Linked DNA regions of Sus scrofa. The protein of the gene in region 1 purifies or fractionates together with the protein of each later gene. This does not show direct contact. Links are inferred from orthologs where the notes say so. Each region holds a gene or a part of one and is shown on either strand. Other genes may lie near its edges. The genes, in order: RC3H1, YBX3, LARP1, CNOT2, CNOT7, CNOT10 and CNOT11.

The links.
Region 2: the proteins of RC3H1 (region 1) and YBX3 purify together in Homo sapiens (affinity purification with mass spectrometry, with the first as the bait; 3 studies listed by BioGRID). This does not show direct contact. The link is inferred for Sus scrofa from reciprocal best matches to the Homo sapiens genes RC3H1 and YBX3.
Region 3: the proteins of RC3H1 (region 1) and LARP1 purify together in Homo sapiens (affinity purification with mass spectrometry, with the first as the bait; 3 studies listed by BioGRID). This does not show direct contact. The link is inferred for Sus scrofa from reciprocal best matches to the Homo sapiens genes RC3H1 and LARP1.
Region 4: the proteins of RC3H1 (region 1) and CNOT2 purify together in Homo sapiens (affinity purification with mass spectrometry, with the first as the bait; 3 studies listed by BioGRID). This does not show direct contact. The link is inferred for Sus scrofa from reciprocal best matches to the Homo sapiens genes RC3H1 and CNOT2.
Region 5: the proteins of RC3H1 (region 1) and CNOT7 purify together in Homo sapiens (affinity purification with mass spectrometry; 5 studies listed by BioGRID, with this or other methods). This does not show direct contact. The link is inferred for Sus scrofa from reciprocal best matches to the Homo sapiens genes RC3H1 and CNOT7.
Region 6: the proteins of RC3H1 (region 1) and CNOT10 purify together in Homo sapiens (affinity purification with mass spectrometry, with the first as the bait; 3 studies listed by BioGRID). This does not show direct contact. The link is inferred for Sus scrofa from reciprocal best matches to the Homo sapiens genes RC3H1 and CNOT10.
Region 7: the proteins of RC3H1 (region 1) and CNOT11 purify together in Homo sapiens (affinity purification with mass spectrometry, with the first as the bait; 4 studies listed by BioGRID). This does not show direct contact. The link is inferred for Sus scrofa from reciprocal best matches to the Homo sapiens genes RC3H1 and CNOT11.

What each region holds. Positions count from the first base shown.
Region 1 is NC_010451.4:116,247,433-116,250,932, forward strand, and holds part of RC3H1 (roquin-1), read right to left. Parts: intron 1,073-3,500; coding exon 872-1,072; intron 1-871. UniProt on the Homo sapiens protein: Post-transcriptional repressor of mRNAs containing a conserved stem loop motif, called constitutive decay element (CDE), which is often located in the 3'-UTR, as in HMGXB3, ICOS, IER3, NFKBID, NFKBIZ, PPP1R10, TNF, TNFRSF4 and in many more mRNAs.
Region 2 is NC_010447.5:61,344,368-61,347,867, reverse strand, and holds part of YBX3 (Y-box-binding protein 3), read right to left. Parts: intron 1,938-3,500; coding exon 1,848-1,937; intron 34-1,847; coding exon 1-33. UniProt on the Homo sapiens protein: Binds to the GM-CSF promoter. Seems to act as a repressor. Also binds to full-length mRNA and to short RNA sequences containing the consensus site 5'-UCCAUCA-3'. May have a role in translation repression.
Region 3 is NC_010458.4:68,396,106-68,399,605, reverse strand, and holds part of LARP1 (la-related protein 1), read left to right. Parts: intron 1-139; coding exon 140-284; intron 285-3,042; coding exon 3,043-3,152; intron 3,153-3,292; coding exon 3,293-3,420; intron 3,421-3,500. UniProt on the Homo sapiens protein: RNA-binding protein that regulates the translation of specific target mRNA species downstream of the mTORC1 complex, in function of growth signals and nutrient availability.
Region 4 is NC_010447.5:34,469,608-34,473,710, reverse strand, and holds the start of CNOT2 (CCR4-NOT transcription complex subunit 2), read right to left. Parts: upstream 2,801-4,103; 5' UTR 2,706-2,800; coding exon 2,658-2,705; intron 1-2,657. UniProt on the Homo sapiens protein: Component of the CCR4-NOT complex which is one of the major cellular mRNA deadenylases and is linked to various cellular processes including bulk mRNA degradation, miRNA-mediated repression, translational repression during translational initiation and general transcription regulation.
Region 5 is NC_010459.5:4,940,094-4,943,593, forward strand, and holds part of CNOT7 (CCR4-NOT transcription complex subunit 7), read right to left. Parts: intron 2,941-3,500; coding exon 2,779-2,940; intron 1-2,778. UniProt on the Homo sapiens protein: Has 3'-5' poly(A) exoribonuclease activity for synthetic poly(A) RNA substrate. Its function seems to be partially redundant with that of CNOT8.
Region 6 is NC_010455.5:18,699,449-18,702,948, reverse strand, and holds part of CNOT10 (CCR4-NOT transcription complex subunit 10), read right to left. Parts: intron 2,510-3,500; coding exon 2,333-2,509; intron 1,153-2,332; coding exon 1,072-1,152; intron 1-1,071. UniProt on the Homo sapiens protein: Component of the CCR4-NOT complex which is one of the major cellular mRNA deadenylases and is linked to various cellular processes including bulk mRNA degradation, miRNA-mediated repression, translational repression during translational initiation and general transcription regulation.
Region 7 is NC_010445.4:53,074,816-53,078,315, reverse strand, and holds part of CNOT11 (CCR4-NOT transcription complex subunit 11), read left to right. Parts: intron 1-724; coding exon 725-889; intron 890-3,500. UniProt on the Homo sapiens protein: Component of the CCR4-NOT complex which is one of the major cellular mRNA deadenylases and is linked to various cellular processes including bulk mRNA degradation, miRNA-mediated repression, translational repression during translational initiation and general transcription regulation.

The DNA.
Region 1 (3,500 bases):
GAGAATTAAATATAGCTCTAAGAGTCAGAAATAGTGGACACTGACCTAAAATTGGTGTGTACTCAAATGATCTTTTCATCATAACAAAAAACAAAGTAGAAATAACTTTACTGAAAATTTGATCAAACCTAGAATGGTTGGTAACTTATTATGTGAAATCATTCTGGCTAAGAAGAGAAGAAACCTCAATGCAGACATCTTTCAGGCCATTAAATGGCTGCTCCAAGAAAACAAAAAAGGCATTTTGAAAACGGGTTTAACTAACACTAATCAAAACTCAGAAAACAAAAGAAAGGAGAGAGGCAATAATAAAACAGATATGGGAGACGCAAAGGAATCTGACAGAGCACTGGATAAAAGACTGAAACATAATCAAAATCAAATCTTACATGAATATTGTCAAAGATACCTCAATAAAAAACCATTTGAAAGAGTTCCTGTTGTGGCTCAGTGGTAATGAACCCGACTAGCATCCATGAGGACACAGATACTATAGGATCCAGCATTGCCATGAGCTGTGGTGTAGGTCACATCTGTGGCTCAGATCTGGCATTGCTGTGGCTGTGGTGTAGGCTGGCAGCTGTGGCTACGATTTGACCCCTAGCCTGGAAACTTCCATATGCCATGGGTGTGGCCCTAAAAAGAAAAACCAAACCAAACCAAAAAAAAAAAAAAAAAAAACTTTATATGAACAAACTAGTGTTAAGGTGTGACCTTATGACATGACACCCAGCTACAGTGAATACAATTTATAAGGACCTGACATACAATATTTTCTTTAATATGCATTTGATATACAAATGAATTACCAAATCATGAATAATAAAAACTCCGAGATTAGTTCAAGAAGGAAGAACAAACCAGAGTCTACCTTGTCAATAATAGACTGCATATGAGATTTGTGAGACTGGTCTCCATAAAGCAAAGAGGACCACTGGTCAGGTGCAATTCGTAAGCCTGCTTCCATAGCAATCTGCACTATCTGGGAGTCATGTTCTCGACGCAGAGCTTCATAGGTTCTAAATTCTTCTTTCAGCTGCATCAACGAAGAGTCTTCATCACGTTTGGTGACCTATTAAGACACATGTAATCCCCCAGAGTCAGATAAGAAACAAACAGGGTTTATACTTTATATGATAAGTATAGATATGAAAATCCTTTGGAAAAAGGAAATACGTAATAATTCTGAAAAACAATGTTTCTTCTTCCTATCTGTGATTTATTACTTTGCCTGGTATTGAGCTAGCTGGTACCATAACTGAAAGAGCTTCAGATGATGGTATAATTCTAAAGATGACTAATTTGTACTTGGTTTAATTATCCATGGAGTTTGTAAGTTAGGACACCATAAGAAAGGGCAAATTATAGAGTTCCCATTGTGGCTCAGTGGTAATGAACCCAACTAATATCCATGAAGATGTGGGTTTGATGCCTGGCCTTGCTCAGTGGGTTAAAGATCCAGCGTTGCCGTAAGCTGTGGTGTATGTTGCTGATGCAGTCAGATCTGGTGTTGCTATGACTGTGGTGTAGGCTGGAAGCTACAGCTCTGACTCCGATTCGACCCCTAGCCTGAGAACTTACATATGCTGCAAGTGTGGTCAAAAAAAAAAAAAAAAAAAAAAAGGGCACATTCTAAGATGCTGGGCTGTAATAATTTAATAATAATTATTTTCGGTAATAAAAATAATTGACACTGAGCATGTAGTATGTGCCAGTTAGTGTGTTAGGTTACTTTATTAAGTTATAATGACATATTAACTCATCTAATTCTTTCTGTTTTGTTTTGTTGTTGTTTTTTGTTTGACTTTTTAGGGCTGCACCTGCAGCATATGGAGGTTCCCAGGCTAGGGGTCAAATCAGAGTTGCAGCTGCTAGCATATGCCACAGCCACAGCAATGCCAGATCTGAGCCATGTCTTCAACCCACACCACAGCTCATGGCAATGCCGGATCCTTAACCCCCTAAGCAAAGCCAGGGATTGAACCTCTATCCTCCTAGATACTACTTAGCGTCATTCCTGCTGAGCCACGACGGGAACTCCAACTCATTTAATTATTTAAACTTGGTGAGGTAGGTACTATTGGTATCACACATTTTGAGTCAAGCTGGATTTAGGCTAAAGGCTTATTCAATCAAAGTAAAATGATCCATTCTAGTGCAAGATCACCTATATCCTAAAATATTTTACAACTTACTTTACCTTGCCCATCTTTTATTCCCACAAAGACTCAAATTCCTCTGGCAGAAAATTTCCATTTTTTTTCCTTTTTATCAAAGAAACTACAGACTATTTTACTTAGGACTTCTGGGTCACAATGACATTATTTTTAAATGTATTCTATTATTATCACAAAAAAGTCTAACTTAAATTTTGTTAGTAAAAGTCCACAGAGAGACCAAATTTTTTTTTAAAAAAAATCAAGAACTATAGTCACAAAAGCTAAACGTATTTTACCCCATTGAAAGATAAGTTAAAAGACCAAAGGTATGTGTATGTATATGAAAACACCCTCTCAATACAGGTTAAACCTCATCAAAATGTAGAATAAGCATTCTATATGATGCAGTGATCCCCTGGACTTGGCTCTCAAAACTCTTAACTAAACACACTCAAAGATTTCCAAGAGATGCAATGTCTTAAGAATGACCAGAATTATCCTGCAGCTTGAAAAGATTTTTCAATGGCAATAAAAAAGATGCTAAAAAGACACAGCTAGAACACAACTATATAGACATAAACACCTGGTAAAGAATGGAAAATGCTGTCTGAGTTCCATAAAGAAGATAAAATGGGCGTTGGTAGACTCTGCCACAGTAGTGAAGTTTAGGGTATGGACCTACTGCGATGAGAGAAGATGAATTTTTTCATTATTGAGAATGTAGTACAAACTACCACCAAGAGAAGAAAGTAAGTTGACAACGAAATATAGGGAAATAACAACGACCCAATTGAAAAATAACTGGATTTTTACATATAGCAATCTTTTAAAAATTACTACTAAAATTACTTTTAATTAGGATTAAGAGAGGTTCACTTTGGGTGTTCTGGGGTATTTGAGCCCTTTATTTTTCAGAGGGATCAAACCCGCATCCTCGTGGTTCCTAGTCAGATTCGTTTTCACTGCAGCATGACAGGAATTCCCTACTCTGGCGTAGGCTGGAAGCTGTAGCTCCGACTGGACTGGATCCCTAGCCTGGGAACCACCATATGCTGTGGGTACAGCCCTAAAAAGCAAAAAAGCAAAAAACGAAAAACAAAAACAAAAAACAATTTTTTTGAGACATGTCTCCTTGGCCCACTAAGTACGTGTTTTGTGTGTTGAGTCAAAAGCCAAGAAGCCTTGAAAACAGAATGAATAATAAATGGTACATGCTGGGCACCAATGTTTGAAGTAGTGCTGATTCACTGTGGGATACAAAGGACTATGTCCAGCATTGCTGTATATACTAAAACTGAAGTGGCCTATAGAGCTCCAGTACAGTGTATGTGGAGTTACATA
Region 2 (3,500 bases), on another chromosome or scaffold:
ATCCGGGCCGGTCACGTTGGCTGCTTCTGCACCCTGACAAGGAAGAGAAGCAAAGACAGCCTTGGAATTAAAAAGATGCCAAACTAACTACCAGAAACACCACCTTAGGCAGCCAGCACGTTAACAAGGGGCAGAACCTACTCGAAATGCCTACTGTGACCTCAAAAACACACCCACGTTTTGATAAGATGAGCAAGCTGATGTCGCTATTGAAATGTATATAGCTTGTTGGCTTCCACAACCTTTGCTTTCTTGTTTGCGTCAAAAGCAATATGTGGCTCTTTAGAGAACATAAAAGGTAAATAGAATGCAACTGTAAAGGAAGTAATGCTACACCAGGAAGAACATTTCTCACTGGAAAATAACCATGTTCTCTATCTAGAAAATGTTGAAAGCTATGTCACTCTACGAGAGACTAAGAGTCCCTTCAAGGGCTCACATGGCTCTGTCCAGCATTGAGCTATGGTAAGAGAAAACTTCTCCCATCCAGGCAGCAGGAAGGAAGGGCCCTTGACTTAGCCTGCACAAATGCAGCCCCTGGTTTTTTTGTTTTTTTTGTGGGTTTTTTTTTGGCTTTCTTTTGTCTTTTTAGGGCCGCACCTGTGCGCATATGGAGGTTCCCAGGCCAGGGGTTGAACTGGAGCTGGAGCTGCTGGCCGGCCACAGCAATGTGGGATGTGAGCCACATCTGTGACCTACACCACAGCTCACGGCAACACCAGATCCTCAACCCACTGAGCTGTGCCAGGGATCGAACCCATGTCCTCATGAATACTAGTCGGGTTCGTTAACCACTGAGCCAGGACAGGAACTCGGCATAAATGCAGTCCCTCTTTAAACCTTCTTCTTATGTTTTGCAACACTTGACCTTCGTTCCATTTCTCACATGGACAAATGGATCAAGTAATGCTTCAAAAACATTTGGACAAAAGAGATTCGAAGTGTGTGTTTCCCACTCTACATCAATCTGTAAAACCTTAAATTATGAAAATATACTGAGGTAAAATTTCCCCGGCCAAACAAAACTTTAAGAATTGGACACGACAGATGATTATAGATCAGTCTTTGCTGGTAGATAATTTGAAACTCAGAGATTTGCAAGATACCTTGGGGATCACAGTGGTAAAGAAATCATTTAAACTTCTGTATTAGATGAAATAAAGTGATTTTTAAAAAAAGAAAACCAGAAAACAGTTCGAGAGCTGCTAAGAATATGGACTATGGGATGGTGTGTATGTGAAAAGAGCACACACAGGAATTAAGCAGTCAGTCACTCAGCTCATAATTTCACTGCCACACTTAGCTGTCATGGCAGCTGTACCATATATAGTTTTAAAATGTTTCTATTCTTATCTCATACTGTTTTACTGATTATCTATATATGAGAGACCACTGGTTAAAGGACAAAGATTAAAGGACATTACTAACATTGGAATTAAATATCTAATAGCATGAAACTCTGTAGAAGCACTTACAAATCACAGCCTAAAAACTTTATTCTTAGAAAAAAATATCTTTGGCCCCAAAGCAGCTTTTATCTATTTTTAACACTATAAAACAGTTTAATTTTAATCTACTCTTGAATATACATTTGGTACCTAAATGTCATTTTAAATCTTGAGAAATTAGCTTTTACTTCTTTGATTAAATAATAGTCATCATTTATTAAAATATAAATTAAAATACTCTTTTTTATACAACCTCAAACAATGTATATAATGACAATAAATAGAAATATTTTTACTTAAAAGTCACACCTTTCTGCCTTACAAAAAAAATCCAAGGCTGATGAGAGACCATTTACTATGAAAGAAACCTTAGGATATCCAACCACAATTTCCTCTCACCTTCTCTCCTTCAACCACATCAAACTCTACAGTTTCTCCATCTCCTACACTGCGCAGATACTTCCGTGGGTTATTCTTCTTGATGGCAGTCTGTCAAAAGAACAGAAAATTCTAAGTGAAGTATATGTCAAAATCGGCCACAGATTTCACTGCTTTCAAGTTTGCTGGCTATATTGAAGAAATTGTTGATCTAATATTACTTTTTAAAAGTATTCTTCTGGGAGTTCCTGCCACGGCTTAGCAGAAACTAATCCGACAAGTATCCATGAGGATGCGCGTTCAATCCCTGGCCTCACTCAGTGGGTTAAGGATCTGGAATTGCTGTGAGCTGTGGCGTAGGTTGCAGACACAGCTCGGATCCCGCGTTGCTGTGGCTCTGGTGTAGGCCAGCAGCTGCAGTTCTGATTCGACCCCTAGCCTGGGAACTTCCATATGCCGCAGGTGTGGCCCTAAAAAAAAGTATTCTTCCAACTAGCCTGGCTCTCCAAAACAAAAAACCTCTAAAAACTATGTTTTACATTATTTTATTGATTCATGTTATCCTTCAAAATTCATCTTGGTAGGTGGATTAAACTGAACGTATAGCCACAGCCTACCACCCAGTCATGATACTGGATAGATTCATTCCCTCACACTACCGTCTTAGATCCAGACTACACCTCCATTAATGGGCGGGGGGGGGGGGACTGGGGGGATGCCTTCATGAAATCTTACATGCACACATAAAGACAAAAATACACTTTGGGGCTAGAAATGTCTGAAGACAGCAGAAAGTGCTAACCTCAAAAGAAAATTCGAAAATGCCAAGAGGATAAATATTTCTGACAGAATATACAAAATTACCTTAAGAAAAAAACATTACTGACAGTCTTCTTCTTCTCTCCCATTTTATGGATAAGGGAACCAAACAGAGGCTGATAAGTGGATTTTTCTGCGGTTATAAAAATACTGGCTTGGGGAAGAAGGTGGGAAGGAGGAGGGTAGGTAGGGGAAGCGTAATAGGGCAGGTGGGGAAACGTACTCCCCTGTACTGTAACTGTATGATATTTACTCAGCTTTTTCCCATCACATCATTCACATGTCACCTCATCCCTATATGTACCCCGAGATAAGACATTAAAAGATTAATGAAGATATTATCCTGCCTTGAACAGCTGTACCTACATATCTGTATATGAATGGCCTTTCTTTGTCAATCAATGGAGGGAAGAGAATAATTTCTACACTGAATTCCCATTTCTTTAGCTGGTATCTCTAAGTAGTTAAAGGGGCTCTGAGTTTCTATGGAACTAGGTCAACCTTATTTTATAAAGCGATTAGGCATGTGTAATCCAGCCCTTCCCTTACTCTGAGTAGGAGGGAGAAAAAAAAAAAAAAAAAAGAATGAGCCAATAGGGCAGAGAGACCTCACCCACAGAGGAAGAAGGCAGTTCTGGACAGGATATACGCACCGAGCCTGAACATCAGCCATTCCAAAAACAGCCCCTCCCTGCCGGCTTGTTCCCTTTTTCCTGTTAAACTGGGCAAGTCTCAACACATGGAGGTGACTCACCACGACCTCAGGGGGCTGGAATCAGGTCAGACACTCACAGGCAAATGAAGCTGGCCACCAGTGCAGAAACTGGGGAAGTCCTTTTACTCTAGCTGCCACCA
Region 3 (3,500 bases), on another chromosome or scaffold:
ACCTTCCCAAAGACTTAAGGGGCAGGTGATGAGTGAGGGAAGGAGAAAGGACTGATGTCCTTGAGTCCCAGGATCATTTGTCCCCATAGCACAGGCAGTCCAGCCCTAACACAGTCTTTCCTTCTTCCTCCCCCATCAGAGCGGAAACGCTTAGGCATTGGCCAGTCTCAGGAGATGAACACTCTCTTCCGCTTCTGGTCTTTCTTCCTCCGAGATCACTTTAACAAGAAGATGTATGAGGAATTCAAGCAGCTGGCTCTGGAGGATGCCAAAGAAGGCTACAGGTGAATGGGATCAGGGGTGGTGAGGGGTCCCTGTTGGGTCTGCTTCCAGAAGTATAATTGGAAATTTATTGTGTATATGCTTCATACTCTTTATTTCAAAAATGTATTACTTTTGTGTGGGTACTACATTTACATGATTGAGAACTCAAAGAGGTCAGAAGGTTACACAGTAAGACGTCTCCTCATCTTAGTTCCCCAGCCAGCTGGTTCCTTTTCCCACAGCCAGCAAGTACTGTTAGAATCTTGTGGATCTTCTCTAAAAAGGGAACTTTGCTTTATAAGTTCCCTTGTGGCTTGGTGAGTTAAAGATCCAGCCATGTCACTGCAGCAGTTTGGGTCGCTGCTATGGCATGGATTGGCTCCTTGGCCCAGGAGTTCTTGTTGTTTTGTTTTGTTTTTTAGGGCCACACCCATAGTATGTAGAGGTTCCCAGGCTAGGGTCTAATCAGAGCCATAGCTGCCAGCCTACACCACAGCAACATCAGATCCGAGCCATGTCTGCGACCTAAACCACAGTTCATGGCAACGCTGGATTCTTAACCCACTGAGTGAGGCCGGGGGTCGAACGCAACCTCCTGGTTCCTTATCACATTCGTTTCCACTGTGCAAGGACAGGAATTCCTGGCCCAGGAGTTTCTAAATAAATAAACAAAATTTAAAAATGCAAGTACTTTGCTTATTATGTAGGCGAGGGCAGACCTATGTAGTCTTCCACACACAACGTTTCACCCCTTTTGTTTACACAAAAGATGGTCTCTTTTGGATACTATTTTGTAGCTTTTTGCTTTTTTACTTATTTATTTATTTGTTTTTGGCCGTGCCCACGGAATGTCTAAGTTCCTCGGCCAGCAATCAAGATTACACCTGAGCCACAGCAGTGACCGGAGCCACTGCAATGACAACACTAGATCCTTACCTGCTGTGTCACAAAGGAACTCCATTGCTCTATTTTAGAGATCATTCCATATCCATGTATAAATAACTTTCTTCTTCTTTTTTATAGCTCCTGTGGTCTTAGACTGTATGGATATACAATAATTTACTTAATTATAGACTGTTAGGGTGTTTTGGCTGCATCCATGGCATTCAGAAGTTCTGGGACCAGGGATTGAACCTGAACCACAGCAGTTACAATGCCGGATCCTTAACTCTGTGCCTCCAAGAAACTCCTAACCAGTCTCCTACTAATAGACACTTGAGTTGGTTCCAATATTTTGCTCTTTTAAAACAACAAAAAACTTTTAAAAAGATACTTTTTTTTTCCTCCCAAGTAAAATGTTCTCTCTGTAAGCAGTTTGTAAAGGGATAGCAATATTGAAAGAGCTGGGAGAGAAAGATGCCCTTCAGTCCAGAGACAACCAGTGTTAATGTTCAGTCGTATTTCGTGTATTTAGATCATGCATTGAATGCCTTTTTTATTTATGTCTTATTTATCATTTAAAAGAATGAGCGTTTTTCTGTGTCTTTAAGATATTTAACTTTTTTGTCTTCCTAGAGAAGACAGTCCATGTTTTTGCTGGAAGTTTAGAAAATAGAGTTAAAAAAAATTTTTTTTTTTCCTTTTGCTTTTTGTGGCTCCCCCACGGCATCTGGAAGTTCCCAGGCCAGGAGTCAAGTTGGAGCTGCAGCTGCCAGCCTACAATGCCACAGCTACAGCAACACCAGATCCAAGCCTCTCTGACCTACAGTCACACACTGCGGCGACTCTAGATCCTTAACCCACTGAGCAAGGACAGGGATCAGACCTGCTTCCTCATGGATACTAGTCAGATTCTTAACCCACTGAGCCACAGCAGGAATAGTCGTGTCCTGTCAGACTTTGTACACGTGCAGATATAAAATACATATTTGTTTACAAAAATGGACATTCTACATGTAACACTTCTCATTATCCATCAATGTATATTTACATTGTAATTTTTAATATATTTTGTTGTAAAGAGTTAACATGATTTTTCTTAACCACTTCTGCAAGACATTTAAATTTTTTTAATGCTTCTATGAGTAATTTTATACATCTATAAAATTCTAAATTTTGGTCATTTCCCTGGTATATGTTCCTAGAAATGAAATTTCTGGAATTCCCGTCGTGGCGCAGTGGTTAACGAATCCAACTAGGAACCATGAGGTTGCGGGTTCGATCCCTGGCCCTTGCTCAGTGGGTTAAGGAGCCGGCGTTGCCATGAGCTGTGGTGTAGGTTGCAGACGTGGCTCGGATCCCGCGTTGCTGTGGCTCTGGCGTAGGCTGGCAGCTACAGCTCCGATTAGACCCCTAGCCTGGGAACCTCCATATGCCACAGGAGCGGCCCAAGAAATGGCAAAAAAAAAAATTTCTGAGTCCAATAGATTAACAAAACTCCTAATTGGCATGGTCACATAGCTTTGCAGAGGGCTCATATCAGGGATTGACAAACTTTCCATAAGAGATACACAACAAATCTTATTAGGCTTTGTGGGGCATAAGGTATCTGTTGCAACTGCTCAGCTCTGCTCTTGTAGCAGAAAGCAACCAGTGTGATACTTCATAAGCAAGTGGGTATGGGTAGTAGGCTGTTAACTCATTTAGCCCAAGTTTGCTGGTTCTTGACAGACATTTAGATTCGCCTTTAATGTTAGCCTTCTCAAAGAAGGCTTACCATTTTCTCAATCCACTTGTTTAAACTGTTTCATAGTTTATCTAGAATCCAGGTACAGTTCCTGTTTTAGATAAAAAAAAAAAAACTGTGTCCTGGTTTTACTGACTTGTATTCTCCTACAGGTATGGTTTGGAGTGCCTTTTTCGATACTATAGCTATGGCCTGGAAAAGAAATTTCGGCTGGACATTTTCAAGGACTTTGAGGAAGAAACCGTGAAGGACTATGAAGCTGGTAAGAGAGTTGAGGCTCTTTGAGCCCTGGTCATCCTGATCTTATGTTCTCTGCCCTGCACTCTGCCTGGTCTGTATCACATCACACCTCCCTCTGTCAGCCACCCAGCTTCTCTCTACCTCTCTCCTCTTTCCCTGCAGGCCAACTCTATGGGCTGGAGAAGTTCTGGGCCTTCTTGAAATATTCCAAAGCCAAAAATTTGGACATTGACCCCAAACTTCAAGAATACCTCGGCAAATTCCGTCGCCTCGAAGACTTCAGAGTAGATGTAAGTGGAAGTCTCTCATCTTCCCCACCCTGGTTGTCCAGGAAAAGAAAACCGGACCAGAGATCAGGATACCTGTGTTC
Region 4 (4,103 bases), on another chromosome or scaffold:
TGTGGCATAGGAATGTGGCAAGATTTTATATGTAATGTTTAGGAGCTAGTCTTTATTATGTAAGAGAGACAAAGACAACACTGATAAGTTATCTGGCAATTAATATGGTTAGATTTATGCATGCTCATAGCTGGAATAAATCAGTGTAAATGAGAGGAAGATAAGAAAATTCTAAACAAAAACTGATGTTACATTCCCTTGGCAGAAGCTTTACAATTCTTACAAAAAAGAATGAACTATAAACCATTCATATAATTAAATTAACTTGTCTGAACTATTTAGTTCAGACTAACATACCAGTCTATATACACAAATAAACTTCAACTACTCTACTCAAACGCAAAAAACTTAACTGGGCTTAAACGTACAGTAAGAAATAAAAAACATGAAATAGATAATGGTAGAAAAATTAATACTTTAACCAACATCCATTTGAAGTCACCAGCTCTTAGCAGGAAGCTGAGGGAATGCACCTTCCCAAATTAATTCTGAAGTCTTTAATCAGGTCCATAATGAAATAAGAACTGGAAAAATATTATTCTTATTAACTCCGGAATATTAGCCTATACTATCAGAATGTTTAAATATCACTATAAGACATCAAGCACCCTCCAAAAACAAAAGGCCTCAAACGTAAAATGAGTATACACGGATACAAAGAAATTCTACTTTATTCATGAGAAACAACAAAATTCCTCCAAAATGAAATCTTTAAAAACCCAAATCATTTCATCTCTGCATATACAAATCCTACTTCTAACAATATAAATATTAGAAATTTATCTAATATTCCTTTAAATTTCCCATATGCTGTTAATATGTTCATAATTATCAGACAGCAAATTATATTCCTATACATTCACTTTTCAGAGGAGGCTTTTAAAAATAAAATAATTTTACAATGGAAATTTAAAGAACAGTTTTCAGGAATATTTCAACATGCATAACTACATAACACAAAAAAGAAAAGGAAAAATATTTTCAGGTAGAAAAACCCTAACCAAGAATGAATGCATTTTCAGGTAAGCTCAAAAACACTTGGATTATTTATAAATAATGTGACTGAAATAGTGTGATTCCAAATAATTTTTTTAGAGTAGAATGAACAGAAATTAGGAAATCTCTTCATGTGTAAAATATCTCATTTTATTCCTTTCTAATGTGTAAAATTTGGAATTCTCTATTATTAGATTCTGTAGTCAATTAACCATACCATATGATCATAAAAAAGTTCTATACTTACATTTTATTAACTGGATTATAAACACTTAAAAGCCACATAATGCACAATCACAATTTCTTAAAGTAATTTAGCAGATTCTATCAAAAGACATAATAGCCCAAGCAGTGTAACCAATTAAAATCTTATGAGTCAAGGTAGATGGAAGCGGTTTTGAGGCAGGAGCTACAAGTAATGAGCAAAGGCCACGTCACTTGAGCCAATAAAAACAACTCAGAACAGAAAAGGTTACAGAGAGAACTGATTCTATATAGTCATAGCTTACTCTGATTTATTAAAATTATAAAAATCTGGTGAGAAACTTCAGACATCAAATTAGGTCAAATTCTACAAAGGTTAAATATGACAGTATTTTGTATTAGGACAGAGCCCAAACCAGAACCTAAGTATTATGCTCAAAGGTTCTTTACTATTTCACCATTTACAATTTTCTTCACTGTTCACTCTTCCAATCTGAGGGAAGAAAAGACTAATTGTGCCAAAATAAATAATTAAAAGACAAATGGTTAGTTAACAAAAGCATCTACTATCAGACTAGTTGCCTTCACAGCCTAGAGGGAATAAAACTGGTAAGTGGAAGAGGGAGAGGTTAGATAGGTACCTGTGCAGGAAGTCTGAAGCTTACCCCTACTTGAGCTATGAACTATTCTGTATTCTGAATCACTACATAATTTGATATTAAATTATTGTCAAATGAATAAAGCCAAATGTCTTTGAAAAAACTAAATTCAAATATTATGGGTTTTGAAATCACTATTTAATAGCACTATCTTTAAAATTCACCTTCTTTTATAAGCTGAGAAAGAAACAAAAATATTACACTTCAACCATCGTATTAGCATCCTTACATACTTCATAGGGAATGGATTTATAAACTAACTTAATAAATGAGAAATTATGAGAACAGCAAGCCAATGACAATTCAATAGAATCTGGGTCTCTGAACACCCTGAATTTTCATTTCTATTTCTTCTAAATGCTAACCAATTTTGTCTACATTTCTGTAACGCTCTAGTACCCTCAATATAATCTAAGACTTCAGTTTTAGTCTTCCAGGAATCATACGTGTAAAAGCAATCAATATTTTATTTTATGAAATACTAGGTCTGAATCCAGCCACAAAGTCAAAAATTGTGCATCAGATAATCTAAGTTTTGACATATATACACACACAGGAGAAAATTTATGTTCTGACACTAAAAGAATACACATTTCTTATAAGTATGCTTTATTATGAAAAATGTTCCAAACTATTTCAACTATTAAGCCATATATATACATATATCATTTAAAAAATTATAACCCACATTTTTCAGGTTGAGGTCTATCCAATCTGCTGGTTCCTAAATACAACATATTAAACAGTTCAATGTAATTACGTGACCAACAGAAGAAAGCAAAATAAAATTGATCTTACCTGGTAGTTTCTTTTCTCAGATAATGTATGTCCATCAGTCCTCACCATAGAGTCGTGTCCTTTCCTCACAGTACTGGAGGCAATCAAATAGAACTGTCACTCAAGGGTCGTGTCACAGGAAGGACCGCCCACCAGTTCTCCCTCTAGAGTGGAATTATCCAAAAGCCATCAAAATTACTAACATGTAAAATATATGAACAGTACCAAAAATACCAATATGATACAAAGAAAACAAAACCAAAACTTTTTTTTTTTAATGTCCTAACTGATCTTCCTCTTAACCATCAAAGAAGGGCTAGACTGCCAGACATACTTTGTTTGACACAGAAATTATTAAGCATGAAAAACTTTTCCCTCCCACTTCTACTCTCTCCTATTAAAACTGTTCGCCACATACCTCACACATAGGAAGAAACTTATAGTGAATAAAAATGGAGTGGACAAAAAAGTTAAGCCCTTAATCGACATTACCTTTTTTAAATAAACAATTTGTTAGTATTAGAAATACCCAATTAATTCAGATTCAGTCATTTAATTTCAAATCCCCCTTCATTCAGTTTATGGAGTTTATTCTTATGCCATAAGATGGGAATACATCATATAATCTTAGGATGATTAACAGGTGCAAACCTAAGTCAATATTCTATTAAAATTTACTCCAATGAAGAGTAATAACAACTGTCAACTTTCTAGATTCCTAGGTCCTTCAATTCTCCAATTTTTTGCATGCTTTAATAGAGTTTTCTTTTTTACATTAGGGCAGAAACATAATGAAGCTTATTTCTTAACCTGGTCAGAGAAATAAATCCAAAATGACTAGGCACTGTATTCCTCAGGCATCAAAAGATCACCGAAACAGAGGTAATAGTTGCTAGAGATGCTAACTCAAAAATATAAACTGAAAATGAAAGATCAAAAATTCAAAAGTGGTACCTACAAAAAATTTCTAAATATTTTCAAGACAAATGTCACTCTCCTAACTTTTAGTAAAATGTTTACCCGAATGAAGGAGTATATAGTATATACACCTAGTGAATTAACAATAGTTGCTAACTCCTAAAAATTATAATCGAATTTAGAGCAATTATTTAACATCAGACAAAATTCACTTTGGGAGAGGAAAATAAAAACATCTAATTTAAATTCATAAGAAGTGCAAATCATTTTTATTAAGATCAACACACAAATACATATACAAATATATTACCTCTAAAAAGCAATCTAGTAAGAAGGCAAAAAATTTTTCAAGGAAAACAAAACTTTAAAAATTAGTGTTATTAGATTTAAGTTTTTAAAAGAATTAATGTAATAAGGAGTTCCCACTAAGGAACAGTGGGTTAAAGGATCTGGCACTGACGCAGCTGTGACTTGGATTCACTCTCCTGGCCCAAGGACCTCCATGTGCAGTCACTAAAAAAAATATCATGTAATGAAAACCTACACTCC
Region 5 (3,500 bases), on another chromosome or scaffold:
GTAATCCTTAAATAGAGAACTTTCTAAGGGGTATCAAGCTGTCCACAGCAAACATCTGAAAAATTAAAGATGAATGGAAACTTGGAAAAAAGCCAAAAGATAGAGAATTGGCATTTAGAAGGCAAAAATTAATGCATATCCTCCCATTTTTTATATAAAGAGGTCACATACTTCAAAAATCCAGAGTGTAATTCTTAACAAAGTATTTTCACTTCCCTTAAGTGATTTTATTAATAAGTACTCTCTTCACTCAAAATTCTGTTCCTATCTCAATCCCCAAGAGATAGGAATGCTGCTCATGAAAGAAGGAAGGTAGCAAAAGCTGAGAACTACTAACTAGAGAATAAAAAACTCCCCACTCTCAAGATCTCCTCTTCCTGTTGTTTAGCTTTCGCCACAGGTTTATATCGCCCCACATTTCCCCCACAATCGCACCTCCTTCTCCCTGTCTACCTTTAAGGACCTCTATCCGAAGCCTTCCCTAAAGAGCTCAGCTCCCACAGAGTTCTCAGACAAGTTCTTTTTTATCACCCTTTAAAGCGTAGGTATTGTTTTCTCCATGCGTTTAAAGGGAGGTATCACATCTTAAAAAAACTTTCCATTTAGTTAGGACTCAAATATTTGATGACAGATGCTACTAAGATATCTTTTAAAGGAAGATTACAAATAAATTTCTATTCAAGGTTTAGAATTATACTTCTTAACACGGAGAAAAACAAATTTTTAATACTGAAGACCATTAAGGAATATCAAGGTATAAACAAACGCTAGAAACCTTTAAATTTCTGGCAGTTGACAAGAAAGTAACTTCTTTATCTACCTAAAATACAAGTCAATATATTGCTTACTACTAGGTAAAAACAAGTTGTTTTAGAATTTAGTATTTATAAATTTCTTAAGTCCTTATCTACTAGAAATAAGACTATGAAGAAAATATTTAATGACATTTAGGAGAATGAAATCTTACATATCTTGACAATACTCAAATAGTCAAACCTAGATTCAAGACATGACCCCTGTTTTTGTTCATCTTTTATAAAAAAATTGAAAAATTTTTTTTTGGCCATGACAGGCATCCTTAAGTGGAATCTCAGTTCCCAGACCAGGGATTGAACCCAGGCTGCTGAATCCAACCATTAGACCACCAGGGAACTCCCTGTTTTTATTCATCTTAATATTCCAATGCCTAAAACAAAGTAATGCCTCAGACTATTTTTTGAATGAAAGAACTATCATACATAGTTAAAAAGAGGACAATGCTTTCCAGTTCTTTTGCATCTTCAAGACTAGGGAAGTGAAAAAAGAACTCAAAAAACATCCCTCAAATTACCAGAGACTTAAGCCTCATTTCCTGAGGTACAGACTCAAGTGAAGGAAAACAGAGAAAAAAAGATAGGTGGATATGAGTAAGTTCAATACTCCAGCTCAAAAATGACTGCTTAGTACTACGCTGAGGTTGACGGTATGAACAGTCCTTCACTAGTCTTTTATTACTGAGGCCAGTGCTGGAAATACACAGCATGCAGAAACTTTTTTTTTTTTAAATGCTAAAGTAGACCAAGTGTGAGAATATTAATACCTGCATAATTCAATGCATTTTAAAAACATAACAAAAGGCCAAATAAAATCATTCCCGAAGCACTTTTAGTCCCTGAGTTGCCAGTTTAATGTAGTTTACTTAGATAGGAAAACTCTTTCTCTTAGCTAAAAGTCTGTTTATACAAAATAGAATTTCCTTTCCAGAAATTCTCAACAACCTAATTGTATGATAAGAATTAAAAACTACCATTTATTGAGAATTTACTGTGTGTAGAGCACTTTACTAGATGCTTTAAATATGTCACTACTGATCATTAAAACAATTTAAGCTAATTCTAAGTATTTCTTCCTAATATCCTATTTAAAAAAATTAAAATCCACCACACACACCTCTAGCTTTCTCTTTATCAATTTTTTTCCATAGCATTTACCACCACCTAACAAACTAAAATATACGTTCATCATTTAAAAAACTTGTCTGTCTACTCCCACCAGAATGTGAACTCCATGAAATCAAAATTTTAGTCTATTTTGTTCATAGCTTAATTCCTAGAATATTATCATAGTGCTTGGCATATGAAGGATAACAAATAAATACTTTTAAAATGAATAAATGTTTCCATTCTAAGGCTTAGAAATGTTAAATAACCCTAGGTAACACAGATTCCAAATGGCACTGCTGGATGGAGGGATGGATCGATCGACTGATTTTGGACCCAGGCCCTCACCTCACCAAAAAATATATATTTTTCCACATACCAGTGGTATATGGTAGTTCCAAGGCTAGGGGTCAAATCGGAGCTGCAGCTGCTGGCCTACACCACAGTCACAGCCACTTGGGATCTGAGCCACATCTGCGACCTACACCACAGCTCACGGAAATGCTGGATCCTTAACCCACTGAGCAAGGCTTGGGATTGAACTGGCATCCTCATGAATACTACTTGGGCTCATTACTGCTGAGCCACGAAGGGAACTCTGGGATTGCTGAACTTAAACCAGGTCTACTTTTCCAGCCTGCCCTCTTTCGACTATGCAATACTATCTCTTTGACAGCCTAAAATGGATCCCATATCATTAAATTAACTTTTCAATTAGCTTGGAGAGTTAAGAGACTGCTATATGGCAGCCAATACTTTGTAGAACTAAGCCTGAAATTGCTGACAGAGTGACCCAAACCAAGTGTGAAGCAATCAGGAAATGGTAACACAAATGCCACTTTCAAGGCAATCTTTTTACCTATGAAATGATAACCATTTGACCCCTTCACAGAGGACTACTCCTGAAGTCATAAGAAGTTCTGCAAAGTACTGGGTTTCAATTCCTTCCTCCTCATGTTTTTTAAACTGGATACCAGATGTTGTCAGTAGCTCTATAGAGTCTTGGGCATACATGTCCTCCCTGGCAGGAGAAAAAGAAAGACAACATTCAAAAGTGTCATACTTCAAACTGATTTTCTCCCATTTACATCTAAAACTGTAATGTCAGTAACGAGAGAGAAGATTGGCGTTTAATTCCAAAGCTTTGCATATATGGAGTGAAAATACAATTTAAATATAATGGTCATTAAGTATTGTGGAAAAATGTTCATACAGTAAATAATAATCATTCAGAACAATCCAATGGTAAGATTTTAATCTATACTATCAATTTCATTAGCGGTTCACAAGTTAAATAAATTTAACTGGGTTTGGGGAAAAAAAGTGTCTTCTACTCACCAGCCATTACCACCACAAAGTAACAGACACATTCCTATCAGGGGTTTTTGGTCTCAGCAGCCACTTTAATGCTGCCAAATGGAGCCGCAGCCACAGGGGTGAGGGCCTGGGTCCAACTCCCAGGCTCTCAGCAGTACCAGGAAGAAGACCAAATGCGAAGCATCTGATGTGACTGAGTGAAACTACATTCTATCTTAAATAAAAAGGAGATGCCTCCTCTAACGATGAGCCTTTCAAATGGCC
Region 6 (3,500 bases), on another chromosome or scaffold:
TACTTCCAAAAGTACTATGAAAAAATCATGGTCAAAAATACCCCAGATCTGTTGAAAGATAAATTTGTAAACTTAATCAGCTAACCCCCAGGAAGATTAAAAAACAAAGAAAATCACACACAGACTCATTATAGACTAAATGCCAAAAAACAAAGACAGTTTATGTTGACAGAAAAATGGCACCTGTAATACAATGACTGTGATCAGACCATGGAGGCCAGAAGATAAGACAGTAACACCTTGACTGGAAGAAAAACAAAAATAAAGCCTAGAATTCTACACTCAGTGAAAATATCCTCCAAGAATGACTATGAAATAAAGACAATTTTAGATTTAAAACGGAAAAACAAACAAACACAAAACACTAGGAAAATGAAGACCTGTACTGTGGGAAATGCCGAAGGGAGCTCTTCAAGGCTGAAAGGAAATATCATGAGAACTAGAATCATCAAGAAACGGTAATTACATGGCTAAACATAAAGGACTACTCTGTTCCTTTTAACATACATGTATGACTGTTCAAAACAAAAAAGGTGCTTATAATTCACAGAGACAAAAGTATAACTTTACCCAGACACAAATGAAATAGAAAATCTATACAGCATCATCTATTGAAAAACCTGAATCCATTACCCAAATTTGCCACTGAAAAAACCCTAAGCCAGATAGTTTCACTGGTGAATTCAATTAAACATCTGAGGAAAGAGTAACATCCACCTTAAAAAAACTCTTTCAGAAAACAGAGGAAGAAGCATTTACCAAGTCATTCATACATGATCAGCATAACCCTAAACCAAAGCCTAAGCAGGACATCCTAAGCAAAGAAAAGCACCCGCCACCGATCCTTGGGAACACAGGAGCAAATATTCCCCACAAAATATAAACAAATCCAATTCAACAATGTATTAAAAAAGGTAATACATCCTGACTAGTAGGGTTTAATCACAAGATTGAAAGGTTGGTTTTACATCTGACATTTAATCAATGCAATTCATAATATTAACACAAACAAGGAGATAAAGAATGTGCTCACTCTGATAGAAGCAATGCCAGCTTGGCTTAGATACTCACTTTAGGTTTTCTAATTCCTGTTTTCTCAATGGAGAAGAAGGTGGTGCCGGAATGAATTTATCTCCATCATGGCTTTTACTGCTAAAATAAAGACAGACTCCTAATTATGAAGCATGAACAATCAAATGTAAACTTTTGTTTCCCTATACTGACACCCACGTAATTTTTTGTGAAAAAACTGCAAAGAATCAAAACACTGAAAAAATACTTAATAACTTGGTATCACTTACGTGTTAAAGCTATACAGTATATTATCTTCTTTCCCCGGTACATAATACTGCTTTAAAAAAATCTCTAACGTGTCAACTATACTCCAATAAAAATTTTAAAAAGAAACCTAACATAGTATTGTGAATACGTCGATAAAATAAAAAAAACTAACAGAAAACAATATTTCTACTTATACAAAGGAAATCACTCCAATATTTTCACCTGTTCCTCATTCTTTTGTCTTTTACTAGCTATAGTAAAGCATAACACTTTGATGGAAAAAAAATTCCATGACTTTGTTTCAAATTTTCTATAATAAACATGAATTTATTTTATAATCAGGAAAAAAATGCTAGGAAGTTCTGTTTTGGCTTGGCAGGTTAAGAACACGACTAGTATCCATGAGGATGCGGCGGGTTCAACCCCTGGCCTCGCCCAGTGGGAAGGATCTGGCATTGCTGTGAGCTGCAGTGTAGGTTGCAGACACAGCTCAGATCTGGTGTTGCTGTGGCTGTGGCTGGCTGTAGCGAAGACTGGCAGCTGAAGCTGTGATTTGACCCCTAGCCTGGGAACTTCCATATGTCACAGGTGTGGCCCTTTAAAAAAAGGAAGAAAGAAATAAAAAGAAAAAATGTTGGGATGGAAGATTTGAATTTAAAGGTACCATACGTAAAAACAACTTTCTACATATAACAGTGTTTGTTTTATTACTAAAGTCTTTCAATTTCTAGATTGGTGTAATAGTTAATTTATACTAAGAAACCAGAAATACATAGAAATATCCTGTAAAAAAATTAAAAAAAATCATACAAAAAAATATTCTGGATGTTAGTGGTTTACACACGTTAAGAAAAAAGGGAGAAAGTAATAGCCTTCATCTTATTTCTCTCTTGCAGAAATACTTAAACATTCATATTTTCCTTTTACCCAAAACAGAGAACTCTGAAAATTCAGTCTGTAGATTCTGGGACTTGGGACTTCATCTGGAGGAGGGAGGCTGTCTAGTGAAGTCCTGCAGACTCACTCAGGGAGGTCAAAGAGGTTTGAGTACCTGCAAGTGTCACTGCTCTCGCTGCTCTCCGCGTTACCACCTAACTGATTACTATTTTTAGAGCCATTCTCCTGCTTCGGATCTTGCTGTTCTTCAGGTAACAGCAACAAGGCATTTCTGAGACAAATGGCTGCAAACTCCATGCTGGCTACAGGAATGGCTGAAGACTGTCCATCACTTAAAAGAACAAAACCAAGTTAGCTGAGAAAACAACAAAAATAAATAAGACTTTTCTACTATCAGTGATAAAACCAATATAACTATAGATAACTTTGCCCTCTGATAGGTAGAAATTTCAATTTTGGCAATTATAAGAGAATGCCAAATAACCCAAATCCTACATATTATCAGATGATACCTCGGTGATATTGTGGGTATGGTTCTAGACCATTGCAATAAACTGAATATCTCAATAGAGCAAGTCACATGAATCTTCTGGTTTCCCAGTGGGTATAAAAGGACTATACTGTAGTCTATTAGGTCTGCAACAGCATTATGTCTAAAAAAATAATAATGTAAAATACAATAATGTGTTTTTTCTTAAAAAGAGAACTTACTGTTGTACTGCAGTGGGTTAATGATCTGGCCTATCTCTGTGAAGGTGCCAGTTGAATCCCCAGCCCAGAACAGTGGGTTAAGGATCCAGTATTGCTGCAGCTGTGGCCTAAGTCACATCTCCAGTTTGGATTTGATCCCTGGCCTGGGAACTTCCATATGCCATGGGTGTGGCCAAAAAAGAAAGAAAAAAAATACGTTATTGCTAAAAAATGCTAATCATTGTGAGCCTTCAGTGAGTCCTCTTTTTGCAATACTACCATCCATGATCACTGATCACAGACCACCATAGCAAATAATAATAAAAAAGTCTGGGAGTTCCTGCTGTGGTACAGTGGGTTAAGAATCTGATTGCAGGAGTTCCCGTCGTGGCACAGTGGTTAACGAATCCGACTAGGAACCATGAGGTTGCGGGTTCAGTCCCTGCCCTTGCTCAGTGGGTTAACAATCCGGCATTGCCATGAGCTGTGGTGTAGGTTGCAGATGCGCCTCGGATCCCGCGTTGCTGTGGCTGTGGTGTAGGCTGGTGGCTACAGCTCTGATTCAACCCCTAGCCTGGGAACCTCCATATGCCGTGGGAGCAGCTCAAGAAATAGCAAAAAGACAAAAAAAA
Region 7 (3,500 bases), on another chromosome or scaffold:
GGATTCAGTCAGCCCCTGGTAGAAAATATTCAAGGGGCAAAAGAAATTCCAGAGAGTTCCAGAAAGCAAACCCTAAATTTTGGTGACTGTTTACATAGTATTTCCATTGTACTTATGTAGTATTTACATAGTACTTACAACTGTTTATGTATCATTTACATTGTATTAGGTATTGTGAGTAGTGATTATTTATAAAGTATAAGGGAGGATGCGTGCAGGTTCTATGCAAATATTACACCACTTTACTTAAGGGACCTAAGTACCTTTGGATTTTGCTGTTCACAGCAGGTCCTGGAACCGTTCCTATTTAATTACATTTGCATAAATAAATTTGATGAAATGAATCTTCAATTAAAATTTTGTCTTTAAAGAGGTGAGTTGGAGTTCCCGTCGTGGCTCAGTGGTTAACGAATCCGACTAGGAACCATGAGGTTTGCGGGTTCGATCCCTGGCCTTGCTCAGTGGGTTGAGGATGCAGACGCAGCTCTGATCCTGAGTTGCTGTGGCTCTGGCGTAGGCCGGCAGCTACAGCTCCCATTAGACTCCTAGCCTGGGAACCTCCATGTGCCACGGGAGCGGCCCTAGAAAAGGCAAAAAGACAAAAAAAATAAATAAAAATAAAGAGGTGAGTTGAGGTGGCAAGGAGCAAATGCTAATTTGAGCAGATTTAAGATAATTTTAAAAAATAACTATTAGAGAAATTGTTATACGTTTTTGTTTACAGGCTTTTTACCTCCTATAACTCCACCAGAAAAGTTTTTTCTTTCCCAGCTGATGCTGGCACCCCCAAGGGAACTCTTCAAAAAGACCCCTCGACAGATTGCCTTGATGGATGTCGGAAATATGGGCCAGTCCGTGGACATCAGCGGGCTTCAGCTGGCCTTGGCCGGTAAGGAGGGATCCTGCCTCAGGTGGTCTTGTGTGGTAGCATTAGGCCTTTTTTCTTGCGATGCTCCACTTAAAATGAAGGTCTTTATGCCAAAATGTATTTTCCATGAAAAGCATAGATTTGGTACTGGATCCTTGCTGTTATGGGATAGACATATCATTTTCAGTTTCCACTTGAATCGATTGCTTTCCTTATTTAAGAAAAATGCTGAATAAAACTTGGTCTATTTAAAATTTCCTGGATAACATTTCTACTCAAAGCAATCTGCAGATTCAGTGTAGTTTCTATCAAAATCCCAACGGTGTGTTTTGCAGAAATAGAAAATTCATATGGAACCTCAAGGGACCCTGAATAGTAAACAGTGCTTTCTTGGCTCCTTTGTTGAAAATCATTTGAATATATATGGGAGGGTTTATTTCTGGGCTCTCTTTTCTATGTCAGTTTGTCTTTATTCTAGTACCACATTTTCAGGCAGGGTAGGTCTTTTTTTTTTTTCTTACATGTAAAAAAGGTTTTATTTAGGGAGCTAGACACCAATCCAACAAGCCATACGGTAGCTTTTTTGAAATCAGTGTGTGAGATCTCCACTTTGTTCCTTTGTTTAAACATTTTGGCACCTTCTGTGTTACATATACAAGCAAATATAGAGGTGTTCTTGAAGCCCACTTGTGATGTGATGGAAAGTAACGGGACCAGAGTTCTTGTTGTGGCGCCTTAAGCAAAAGTTGAGATGCAAGGGTCTCATCGCCTAAGAGTGCTTCAATGGGGAAATTCTGATCTTTAGCCAGATCCATGAACCCATGACCTTGTGAATACATGAGCTTCAGGGTTAGTTTTGACAGCACACCCTCCTTCTTGGACTTCATGCACCTGTGACATTTGGCATTTTATATAAGGTGACATCTTTCAATAAACTTTTCCTTGGAGTATTCTCTTTTTTCCTTCAGGGTTGCATCCATGGAATATGGAAGTTCCCAGATCAGAGGTCATGTCGGAGCTGCAGCTGCCAGCCTACACCACAGCAGTGCCAAATCTGAGCCATGTCTGCAGTCCACACCAAAGCTTATGGCAACCCCAGATCCTTAACCCACTGAGCAAGGCCCGAATTGAAACCAAATTCTCATGGATACTATTTGGGTTCATTTCTGCTGAGCTACAATGGGAACTCCTCCTTGGAGTATTCTAAACCTCATTTTTAAACTACTAGTTTTTTTTTTTTTTTAATGGCCACATCCACAACACATGGAAGTTACCCTGCCAGAGTTCGAACCCTTGCTCCCAGCACCTCCAAGCTGCCGAAGTCATATTCTTTACCCCTGTGTCACAGTGGGAACTCCTAGATACTAATAATATAACAATTTTCTGTGACCAAGAGAAATCTTTTTCAGACTTTTAAGATTGAAGGTTGCATGGGTCTCATGGTTTGTGTAAAAGTGCTTATTAGCCACAATGCCAGATGCAGTCTATTTACAGACATAAAGCAACTGTTTCCTTAACCACAGGATGAAAACTGGTTGGAGAAATGATGAGCAATTTCAGTCCTACTTTTAGAAGCAGTGTATATTCTGAGGGTTCTGGCTTTGTATTCAATAAAGAATTGGATCTGATCTCCTTTTCAACTGTGATGACCGATCAGCCAATGCAAAACTTTTAAAGTTATGTCAAGCTGAGAAATAGGTGACCAGAATTAGGACGGAGAAGCCTGGCACAGCAGCTACCCTCTTAAGCAAAGAGCCCTAAGCTCTTTGCTGTCCTCTGCCCAGACTGAGGATGTCTTAATCCAGTCTTTTCACAAGTACTTAAGGAAAAAAAAAAAAAGTGCATGCACCATCTTCTCTGGCGCTGGCTACACAGCTGATCTCTACAGCAGCCGGCCTGAGATTCAGATGTCTTCATGGGATCCACGACCAAAGTGTATTTATGGCTGATGCGGTTGCATTTTCCTAATTCTCAGAAAACAAGCAGGCAAATTAAACAGAAATAAATACAAGGGGCAGAATTTTATCTTGTTAAAATTTCTGCAAAACACCTACGCTTGTACCACAGTGTGCCAATTTAAAAATGTTGTCTATATCTTGGTCAATAGTATGTTTCCTACCTTTTGTATTTCAGCAAAATGAGATAAAAAATTGCATTTTTCCTATGAAGTGAATAAGGTTAAACATCTTTTATGTCTCTAGCCATTTTTCCATTGGGTTAATGGTCTCTTAAAGCAGATCTGGAGCAGCCACCATTAAAATTGAGAAGAGCAATATTAGAGTTCCCCCTGTGGCTCAGTGGGTTAAGGATCTGGTGTTGCTGCAAGCTGCAGCATAGGCTGCAGATGCAGCTCGCATCTGGTGTTGCTGTGGCTATGGCATAGGTTGGCATCTGCAGCTCTGATTCCATCCCTAGCCTAGGAACTTCTGTGTTCTACATGTGTGGCTGTAAAAAGGGGAGGGGGAAGGAGGAATATTTTTAGGACCTAGAAGTTCCCTGTGCATTTCTCAATTACTGCCCTCCAGCCCCATTATTAACCTGAGTTTTCTGTTAATAGTTTGCTGTCTACTGTCTAGCCCTCCCTCTTGAGCATGCCTAGAGTTTAACCATGCTTGTTCCTGATATCTGTGTA